Drosophila melanogaster: one gene and its partner. Changing the gene in region 2 together with the main gene of any one other region gives a genetic interaction. Each region holds a gene or a part of one and is shown on either strand. Other genes may lie near its edges. The genes, in order: sno and Atg4b.

What was found.
Region 1: of Atg4b (region 2) and sno, changing one enhances a phenotype caused by changing the other (phenotypic enhancement), as found in Drosophila melanogaster (one study listed by BioGRID).

The regions. Positions count from the first base shown.
Region 1 is NC_004354.4:13,208,497-13,213,689, reverse strand, and holds the start of sno (strawberry notch), read left to right. Parts: upstream 1-2,015; 5' UTR 2,016-2,587; coding exon 2,588-2,590; intron 2,591-5,193. Other genes in the region: REG (proteasome regulator gamma), read right to left, coding at 167-534, 732-1,101. UniProt on the Drosophila melanogaster protein: Notch pathway component, may contribute to the specificity between lateral and inductive Notch signaling pathways in the wing disk. Required during many developmental stages including oogenesis, embryogenesis and imaginal development of the eye, wing and leg.
Region 2 is NT_033777.3:15,353,002-15,358,832, reverse strand, and holds Atg4b (Autophagy-related 4b), read left to right. Parts: upstream 1-1,908; 5' UTR 1,909-2,016; intron 2,017-2,204; coding exon 2,205-3,159; intron 3,160-3,217; coding exon 3,218-3,413; intron 3,414-3,480; coding exon 3,481-3,557; intron 3,558-3,724; coding exon 3,725-4,200; intron 4,201-4,260; coding exon 4,261-4,563; 3' UTR 4,564-5,113; downstream 5,114-5,831. Other genes in the region: Hibch (3-hydroxyisobutyryl-CoA hydrolase), read right to left, coding at 22-294, 559-1,443, 1,513-1,515; Tmtc4 (transmembrane O-mannosyltransferase targeting cadherins 4), read right to left, coding at 5,365-5,831.

The DNA of each region.
Region 1 (5,193 bases), on a different chromosome or scaffold from region 2:
TCAATTAAAGAATTTTGATGTTTGTAAACCGAATTGGAAAATCTTAGCTTTTTGAGTAGCGACAAGAATTGCTGACCGTCCGCTCTACGGGCTGATTATTGATTGAAAAGTAAGATGATGGAAAGGAAAAAAAAAAGTTGAGGCTCGGGCTTCGGAAATACCTAGCCTAATACAGGCTTTCGGTATTTGAGGAGCGCGGCTTCTTTAGCTTCTCGAGGTTCTTAATAACAATGTCGTGCAGCGAGGAGTAGCGATTGCGGACCTCACAAACGACCAGCCACAAGCTGAGGTACTCCTTCTCGTCAAGTTCGACGACTGCGCGCCGATAATCATCGATGTGCGGATACTTGGCCACCTTGGACACCACCTTGGCGCGCGACAAGAAATAGCGCGATATCTGGTCAAAGAAGGCGGCCGCCTCGGATTCCACAGTTTGAATTTCGGCAAGCGTGTCCTCTTGAATGGAGACGCCAAAGTTGTTGCCATCCTCGATCTTGGGTATCATAAAGGAGATCCACATCTTAAGTAGATTGGCTGCAAAAGAAATCAATTCAGAAATTACTAGGTATTCATTAAAAAGCTTAATGTCAGGCAAAACTTTAGCTACTGGCATTTGTACCGTTCGAATGTAAAAATTCTTGGAATTCATTGTTTTAGGAAAATTGAAGGGGCTCTTGAATAGCATAAAAACATTTATTAGGTTGAGACGCTTGAATATACGGTGTACTTACAATCCTCCACAAGCTTCCTGATGATAGGCTTGACGACCTTGATCATCTCGCAGAGCGGCTTGTTGCACGGCACTGTACCGGCGGGCAGACCCATGACAGGCTGCCCAGAGACGATGACATCCACGCGCTGGCGCTTGGTGGGCAGACTGTCACGATCCTCCAACTCGTTTTTAACCAGGAGAGGCGGCAGGACCGGGATGTTGAGGTCCTGGTGCACTTCTTCGAAGTTGCGCTCGTTGAAGATCGGCGTGGCCAGCAGCTCGTTCAGCCGGACGATATTCTCCGGGAACCCCTTGGTGATTAGCAGCTCTGCCTTGAGGATCAACGAGTCCTTGTACTCCTGCACCTTTACCACAGTGTCGTTAGGCATTTCGTTAGCTATGTGGATTCCTTTTCGTGTCCGTGGAAGCCTTTGATCCTGAGTCCTGTCTCCTGGCGTAGTACCGGTTCTTCTCGTTCCTTATCTTCTCAATAACAATCAGCAACGCGGACCGTCTGAAATCGGCGGACTTTTAGGGACTTGTGTCGGCGGATTGCGAAATTGAAAGCGGGAAAACCAGACTTACCGACAAATTTTGATGCCCAAGCAACAACACGCATGTGGTGCTAGAGGTGGAAGAAAAAGAATAATCGATGCTTATCGATAGCGTCGAAGTTTGCAGAAATTTTGCAAATTAATACCCCACAAGTATCTTAAATATCTTGAATGTCAATATATATTTTTTCTATACTTTTTTTAGATTGAAAGTCTTCTAATTACTTTCAGTTTCATAAACAAATTAGCTGAACATTAAAGTTGGCAAAACATATTTAAATGCATTAATGTACATTGCAGTTGGCATCATTTATTTAAATGCAACAGCTGAAGCTCGCTTCTCATTTACCATGTTAAACTTGCATATACTTTGTTGTAACGTGATTAGAATTTAACGGATATATATCATGAAATATAAAGAAATAAGACGCGCGCCATTTATCGATAGTCTTGTGTGCACCGCGTGCCAGACCGATAGATTTGTTTAAATACCAAGTAAGTTTATTATGTCTCCCTTTGTGCAATTTAAAATGTTTTCATTTAAATATCTATATTTTTAAAATATTTTCCATATATATATATTATAAGTAATATTAAGCTATTAATATTTTTAGAGCAAACACGCTATAAATAAGTGTGCCCAAATATAAGTTTTAGTATACATCGGCATTCTTATCAATAATCGTCAAACTGACGTTTTCTCGCTTCACCATTATCGATTCTCATCGATGTTTTTCCAGCTCTATCTAGTTGGCATCTCGTTAGTTGCGATAGTTGGCATGTTACGTGTGTTTTCGGCTTCGTCGCTTCATTCTCGTCTCGTTCTCGTTTCCTTCCTCCTTTATTCCGATTCCTCGTTTTGCGTGTATTGCGCGGTACAACGCATACGAACAAATTTATCCGAAGCGAAATACCGCGTGCAGCAACAAAAGAAAAACACACTCAACAACAACAACACACACGCATGCACACACGCATGCAGTCATTATCGCAACACCAATAACAACAGGAAGAACAACAACAACAAAAACATTTCTAACGCGCTGAAAATTGCGGAGTCCAGCCTTTTATATTTGCTGCATTTGCTATCTAACTTGCCGCACAATTGTTCTGTTCCGTTGACAGCATCAAAAACGCATTGTTAAAAAGAAATTAATATATAAATTTTAAACAAAACACAAAAAAAAACCAAGAAAAGAACGAAAAACGCGTGGGTGCGCGGTCTGTTGATTTTTTTTTTGTGGTTAACAACAACAACAAGAACCATCGGAGGGACGAACATCAAGAACAACCACCGTTAGCAGTAAGCAGGAGAATCAAAATGGTAAGTTTAAGTTAGCTGGCTTTTTTGTTGTTGCCGTCAATAGCATGACTTAATATAAATTTCTTTGTTGCTAAATTTTGACACACTCACATTTACCCACACACACATGCATAAAACAAAAACAAAGCGGCTGCAGAAGCTGATGAAGGAGAATAATAATGAGAAGAAGGAGCAGTAGCCAACTCATTCAATAATTGTTGTTTCTCCTTTTCTTGCGCCTTTCGCTCTTTCCTCGTCCACCCATTTTGTTGTTGTTGCTGTTTTTTTTATCTGCAATTGTTTTCTTCTGTAATTTCTAAGGATGCATTTTATATCGCAGATTCGCGTGGCCTGGAACCATGTGTTTTTCTCTCCCTCTCATACTCCCTCTTAGCGCTCGCCCCTCTCTTTCGTGCACACACGCTGAGTTTAGTTTTGGCGTTTTTTCCCCCGCACACGAGTTAAACGAATTCAGTCGACAAAAGTTGCGCTAGGTTAGGGTTAAGGCCATGCGACTCAGGGGCAACATGTGGGTTAAGACCATGGGCGGGGTATGGGGCTATGGGTCTATGGTGCATCATTGAATTGAGGATGACAACTATTTTTCAGGGGGCGGCATCGTTTTGAATGTTATCAAAACTATGACCATACAATTTCTATTTCTACAAATGTAATTTAAATTATATAGTCCGTAATAGTGTTGCTAATCTATTCAAAGAATCATTTTTTATAAAATATGTTAATAATATTTATTTGTATCATCAATTACTGGAAATTTGATATACTTATGCCAGCTTTTGACTACTCAAGTGTTTTACAAGTACCGCAGCTTTACAGTGATTGATTTGTGAAATGCTTATGCTTTTGTTTACGTGCAAAGAAAATAACTTTAATTCCTCTCAAAATGCACATATTTGTTATCTAAATTATCCTTATCCCTATGATATAATAATACGATTCACAATTTGTTTTCTTGATAAAGAAATAGATTTGATTATCGTTTATTTACCCGGATTTATTCGTTATTATTCCAAGTTTTTTTTTCCTCACACTTGTTGCTCGGCATGAGCGACGGAACCCCTGGCAGAGACTCAAACCACTCACGCAAAAGTTCGATAGAATCCCCGCTAAGGGGTTTCCACTGTAGAACTGCAGTTGGTGCAGCTGCAGCTCAGAAATGCATCCTGAGAAATGCGAGTTGCCCCTCCCACACAAGCTGCGCTGCTTTTCCTCTGCTGCAGCCAGAGCATTTCTGATTGGGGAGGGTGGGTAAGTGGTCCTACGAGCCGTGTTATGTATCGCCGTGTCCGCTTTGGCCAATGCATTCCGAGTTTTTTGGCGCCTGCGCTTTCACATTTCCCTCGGCCCGGTCAACATCTCTTTGCCAACTCCTGGGAGCGGGAGCCTTTATTAGCTAAATCTCTCCCCATTTTTGTAACATTTTTCAGGTCTATTTTCCTTGGCCTTTGTTTGTGTCCTTTTTTGTCCGTTTTTATCTGCACCTTTTGTTTTTATTTTTTCATTCGCCTACCCTGCTGATAAGGGTTAATGTTGTGGCTGTTTATTTTTCGTAATTCATACCAACTTTTTTTTTTTTTTTTTTTTTGGCAACAACATGTTGATGTTTCTATTTGTGCGAGAGGGTGGTTGATGGAAACACATGTTTTTGGCCACAGATTTTCAACATTTCCCTTGTTGCAAGGTCATTCGTTTTGATTTTATTTTGTGTGTCAACAAAAATGTTGCAATCCATTAACAGGCGGAGGTGTGGATGAAATATTGCGGAGTTAGAATTGATTTGGGAGTGAGAACTATGTTTTCGTTGAGGAATGCATTTCAGATGCTAATAGCGAATTCTTATTTTTATCTTTTGAGCCTAATTAAATGACTTCAATGTAAATGATTAATTAATTAAGTATCTAGTATCTATCTATCCTAGCCAAATACAATATAATAATATTCATTTTAAAGAGGTGATTACTTGAGTTAAGCTGGTTTTTGAAATCTGATTGGAAAAATGTTGAGAATATATCGCACTGTCGTAGATCAGTTTTTATAGTGATCGATCATTCCAGCGGACGTTCACTGTCCTCACTGCATTTGTTTGTCTCGGCTGCTTCTGTTTGCTTTGCTTTTGGCCCAAGTCCCTTGCCAGTTGTTTTATCCCGGAGCACACAGAGGTACACGGTATATATGTTTGAACGCATATAGCCAGCGAACGAGCCAACCAGACCCGTCGCCACCCTCCGGCGCCCACCAGCACCCTACCCCTTCCCCAAGGACGTGCCCACATCCACAGCCACAGCAGTCTGTCTTGCTCTAATTGCTGTACATGCGCTGCAGATTGCTGCTCCTCCTGGCACCCCCCCCCCCCTCATCCTCCACAACTTTCGACCTGCTCCAGTCCCCCTGACCAACCCCTTTGGCCGCATTCAGCTGCCAACTGAGCCAAAACCCTTTGGTTTAAAGGGGTTGGGGTTGAGAGGGTGGCTAGAAGGGTTGAGGGGGTGGTGTGGTGGGTGGGCCGTGGGATGCGGGATGTGGGGTTTCTGGGAGCAGAGAAAGCACATGCATATTACGCATAAAGGAGGAAACTTCGTATCTCTGCATGCCAAACATTTTGT
Region 2 (5,831 bases):
AACAAAACTAAGCTTGCTACATTACAGCTTGAGTTCCTCGGTGTCCGGTAGCTTGCGGAAAAACCACTGCACATGTTCCTCAGTGACATCGGCCAGCTTGGTTGGCTGCCACTGGGGCTTCTGATCCTTGTCGATGAGTAGGGCGCGCACTCCCTCCTTGAAATCACTTCGCTCCAGATGACGCACGGCCAGACGATATTCCATAATAAGACACTGAGCCAGCGACAGCTGTGATCCGAGCTCCAACTGACGGAACGTAACCTTCATCGAGGTGGGAGACATCTTCGAGAGCGTCTAAAACAAAGAAAAAAGCAATGTGTCTGATTTCAATAATAAAATTCAACTCTAATAGAAAAATGCAACAAGGTGTGGGGTGTGAGTTTGTGAGCTAGTGTAACTTATTCAGTTAAGAAAAGTCGTGCAGCAACTAAAGCGTTGCTAATTGGCTGGAAACGGATCAAATATTTAGGCGCTAAAAGCGCGCGTCAAGCGATGATTGGCCCAGCCAATTAACATCCGATTGTGTTCTTATCACTTAGTAAACTGTGCCCCACTCACCTCAAGCGTCTTCTTGGCCCATTCACTGCCATCGTTCTGCAGATTCTCTAGAATCCCCTCCACCGAGTCCGCTGAAAAGTTCTTGTTGATCTGCTCCAGGACAGGCTGCAGCGAGAAGGGCTTTTCTGGCGGGGAATGGTACTTCTGCAGCAGCTCAGGCACATCATCCGCATCCGGGCAGTTAAGGAGAGCCGTCTCCAGATCAGGGATCTTGCTGCTCTCGCAGTAGTGCGTAGCAATGCCTGAGTAATAGACATCGGCTCCGCGCAGTCGATATCCTGTGAGACCCAGATAGAGGCCCAGCTTTCCCTGCAGTCGAGGCAGGAAGTATGATCCACCCACATCCGGGAAGAGGCCAATCGCCGTCTCGGGCATGGCGAACAGTGTCCGATCGCTGGCCACCCGGTACTTGCCATGCACACTCAGACCCACGCCACCGCCCATGGTAATACCGTCAATGATGGCGATGTAGGGAATCTTATAGTTTCCGATCAGGGCATTCGTGCTGTACTCCTCCCGGAAGAAGCTCTTCGACTCATCCGTAGGGCCAGCCTCGACCAGAGCGCGCACATCTCCACCGGCGCAGAAGGCCTTGTCACCTGTGCCCTTGATGATCACCAGCGACTTGGACTTCTCGCACTTCTTCAGGTGCTTGTAGATCTTGCGTACCATCTCCAAGTTGATGGCGTTAAGCGCCTTGGGCCGGTTCAGAATAATCATTCCCTTGTTAGAGGACTCCGTGGCCAGCACGGAGGAGGAGGATTGGCGAACGGAGAGAGCCATTGTTGTTGGTTTTGTTTGGGATATCGTTGCTCCGCCGATCATCGGCAATTGGCTACAGGTGCGATGACCAAATGTGTACACCAACCTTTGAATTGGGCCCTGCTGGACGGCGACATCGAATTGTTTTCGATTAGCTAAGCGCTTCTATTTGCAGGAATTTGCATTACTTACCATTTTGAGCGGCTGTCGTCAGTAATGTTGTGTGTGGGGCGAAGCGAGTGTTTAGAAATTCAGCGTTGCGCAATAGAATTTTAGCACCCGCACAGCTGGTCATTCTTGTCGCGGAGCTGCCAGACCGCACACATGCCGGAAGTAAATAAGGGTGTTCCAGAAATCGTTTTCCGCGTAAAATATTACTATTAAATGGACATGCCAAGGGCAGACCTATACCAGGCGCCTTTTAATTTATTAATTCAAATATTATATGTATAAGAATTTTAGATAAAGATACAAATTGTTTAAAAATAGTTTAACACAAACCTGTTGATAACAAAATTCACTATTCATTTTGAACTCATTAGTAGATAAACGTAAAAAAGAACACACATTACCTACATATTCATAATAGAGCAGATTTGCAGTCTGGCAACACTGAAATTGGCAATTGTACTTCTCGCGAATAAGAAAAACAAATTTCGTGGAGTTACTTTATCTTATTTTGTCAACAAATAAACGGTGAGTAAACATTTGTAATTAGCACGCAATCGGTGGTCGGTTGTCAGTTAAGCCAGGGCCAGCAAGGGGCTCGCACCAAGATTACAATGCCGCAGTTCTTTAAGTTCCGCAAGCTGCGGACAAAGCGTCATAGCTCTTCTACCACTTCCGCCTCTGTTTTCATGTCCTCGTCCACGGCCACCAACCAGATGAACTATGACGGCCTCCTTTCCAAGTTGACCGACGAAAAACTGATGCTCTTCGAAGCCGCCGGCGAGGGGACCATTGTAGAGGGTAGCCGGATATGCGGCCAGGATGCGGATCCGCTCTCCTTGCCGCTGGTGGAGGACGGCGCCATCGAGGAGGAGCAGGCGGCCCCCATACAGACGATTCATCGCACTGTATTCGCCGTTCCACGCGTCCCTTCCCCCTCCCCCGTAAGCACATCAGGTGCCAATCTGAACCTCAAGACGGAAAACGCTGCGACAGCGACTCCGCAGCGCAAAATATCGACGTCATCACGTTTCATGAACGCCTTCAGTCAGCTCTACGGCGGCGGCAACAGCGGTCCGAGCTGCGGTCACGTGGAGCAGCACAACGAGGAACCCGGTGACCTGTCGGCAAACCGTACTCCCACCAAGGGCATGGAGTCCAAGCTCGTCGCAATGTGGCACAATGTGAAGTATGGCTGGAGCGGCAAGATGAGGCAGACCAGCTTCTCAAAGGAGCAGCCCGTGTGGCTGCTAGGACGGTGCTATCATCGACGCTTTACTCCGCCCGTAAGCATGGAAAGTTCCATCACCGAGCTGCCCAGCGGGGCGGATACCACCCCCGATAACGCCACATCGGCGTTCGACAGCATTCAGGCCACATCGACATCAACCTCCTTGTATCCAGCCCTTAATCCGCAGCAGATCGATGAGATTGTGGTGCCCCAGGAACTGGGAATGGACGCGGTGGAGAACCAAGTGGGCGAACAGCCTTGGGAGGAGGGCATCGAAGGCTTTCGTCGTGACTTTTACAGTAGGATTTGGATGACCTACCGTCGAGAGTTCCCAATAATGAATGGCTCCAACTACACCTCGGACTGCGGTTGGGGCTGTATGCTAAGGAGTGGTCAGATGCTCTTCGCTCAAGGACTCATCTGTCACTTCCTAGGGCGAAGTAAGTTAAATGAACCCGCACAAATATGTTTGATTACCAATAAACCTTTATGCTTCAGGCTGGCGCTATGATTCAGAGTCCCAGTTGCACTCGACTTACGAGGACAATATGCATAAGAAGATCGTCAAGTGGTTCGGGGACAGTTCCTCAAAAAGCAGTCCCTTCTCCATCCACGCCCTGGTGCGGCTGGGGGAGCATTTGGGTAAAAAACCTGGCGATTGGTACGGTCCCGCCTCTGTTTCCTATTTGCTTAAGTGAGTACAGATCTTTATCGCTTTTTTAATCTTTATTAAATCAAACAACTCTTCAACTTCACCACAGACACGCCTTAGAGCACGCGGCTCAGGAAAATGCAGACTTTGACAATATTAGTGTCTATGTAGCCAAAGATTGCACGAGTAAGTTCAAGCAGAAAGGAATCCCTTAATCAAAGATTCATAAGATAACTACCATGACACATTGATATGTTCATGAGTAATTGCTGCAACCTTGTTCGCGAAGCTCATTACTCAGGGGCTCAATTGATAACGTATGTGATTTGATAACCGTCTTTGTGTTGTTTTAGTTTACTTGCAAGATATTGAGGATCAATGCAGCATTCCGGAACCGGCGCCAAAACCCCATGTGCCTTGGCAACAAGCGAAGCGGCCGCAGGCGGAAACTACCAAAACGGAGCAACAACAGCACTGGAAGTCCCTCATCGTTCTGATACCTTTGCGCCTGGGCAGTGATAAACTGAATCCTGTGTATGCCCATTGTCTGAAGCTGCTGCTGAGTACAGAACACTGCCTGGGCATCCTTGGTGGAAAGCCAAAGCATTCGCTGTACTTTGTCGGCTTCCAGGAGGACAGGCTCATCCACTTGGATCCGCACTATTGCCAGGAGATGGTGGATGTGAACCAAGAGAACTTCTCCCTGCACTCGTTTCACTGCAAGTCGCCGCGGAAGCTTAAGGCCAGCAAAATGGATCCTAGTTGTTGTATCGGCTTTTACTGTGCCACCAAAAGTGATTTCGACAATTTTATGGAGAGCGTACAGTTGGTAAGCAAAAGCCAAACATTTCGTTTTCCAACGTCCTATTAAATATCTTAATTTCAACAGTATTTGCATCCTATGCGTTGCGCCTCAGGGGCAACTGTGGATAAGGCGGCCGGGAGCCATCATACGACGCCTCAGTCATCCCATCAAACCGAGCAAACAGAGATGAACTATCCATTGTTCTCATTTTCCCGCGGTCGTTGCATGGATCACGAGCGGGACGAAATGAGCGATTCGCTGTACAAGCCGCTCATAAAACAGGTGGCTTCTCTGGCCCAGGAATTGGGCGCTCAACTGGCGCCGCCACAGCACGGCGATGAGCACGACCAAGATGATAGTGAAAGCGAAGAGTTTGTGCTGCTGTAGATCGTTGCCGCCACCACCACATAACCCTGTTGCTGTGCTAGCTGTGTTATTTGCTCATTATTATTTGATTTAGTTGCCAGCCGCTGCTGCTTGCTTGCTCGCCCAGAAAAACCCAACAGACCCGTATCTCAAACACAAAGACTTTGTTGTACCTTTACGCCTACGCATATAGTACATAGACGCATGCATGTATCTTGAATATTTACTGATGTCCACGTTAATCTCTCTTTTGTTCGACCTGTCGTCTCGCATTCTGCCAAAGTTTTTCAGCTATTTCCATGTTCGAGCAGCCCGATCTGTTTATATGTGTTATATATAAACCTATGTAATTTGCGGTATTATTATTTTAAAATCATGAATCTTTAATGGAATTGAATTATTTTACAATGGTGCCACAATTGTCACTATTCTTTGAAGTATTTCATGTAGCGCTTAGTTCTAGAGTTTAGTTAAATTATGTAAGTCGTCTTGTAATTGTTCGATCATTATTTAGTTTTAACATTAATTGTATATACCCTCGAGTAAATGAATAAACTATCCTAACTTATACTAAATACAATTAGGGTGTCATGAGATTTTAGCTGATGGGATATGAATGTATGATATAGATACAATATTGCACGGAATTAAAATTAAATTAGACTAACTAGTTTTAATGTCTTTTATGAATAAGTAATTTAACCCACAACCTCGTCTTTCGTTTGGGATTATTACAGCTTGCGAAGTGTACATACCTCTTATTATTTGCAAACAACCAAGATTTTGGTTGGATCCATATTTGGATGGTGGGACTTGAAACGCTTATCTCTGCATGACTTGCGCCTCCCTTTCCAGGCGTTTTAAGAGCTTGCTGAGATTCTCCCGGGCTGTCGTTGCTCTAGCCGCACTAATACTTATTGCAGTCCGATAAGCCTCTATAGCCTCCTGCGTCTTGTCCCAGCGATGATAGAGAACTCCGAGATTCGTGTGGTACAATGTGTTGTGGGGCTCCAGCTCAATAACGCGCTTGTAGATCGCCTCCGCCTCCGTATAATGTTTTAATTTGCCAAGCACGTTTGCTCGAATGAAAAGGATACTGACATCGTTGGGTAGATGTTGGAGAGCCTGATTAGAGATGCGCAAGGCGTCATCCTGCAACCCCTTGTTGTCCAGCATTGTCAGAATGTTAGCCCAGGCTTTTGGCTGGCGGGGATTTAGTGCCACAGCATGCTGCCAATGATGAAGCGCTTCGGCGTAACGTTTCTGCTCCAGATACAGATTGCCCATGT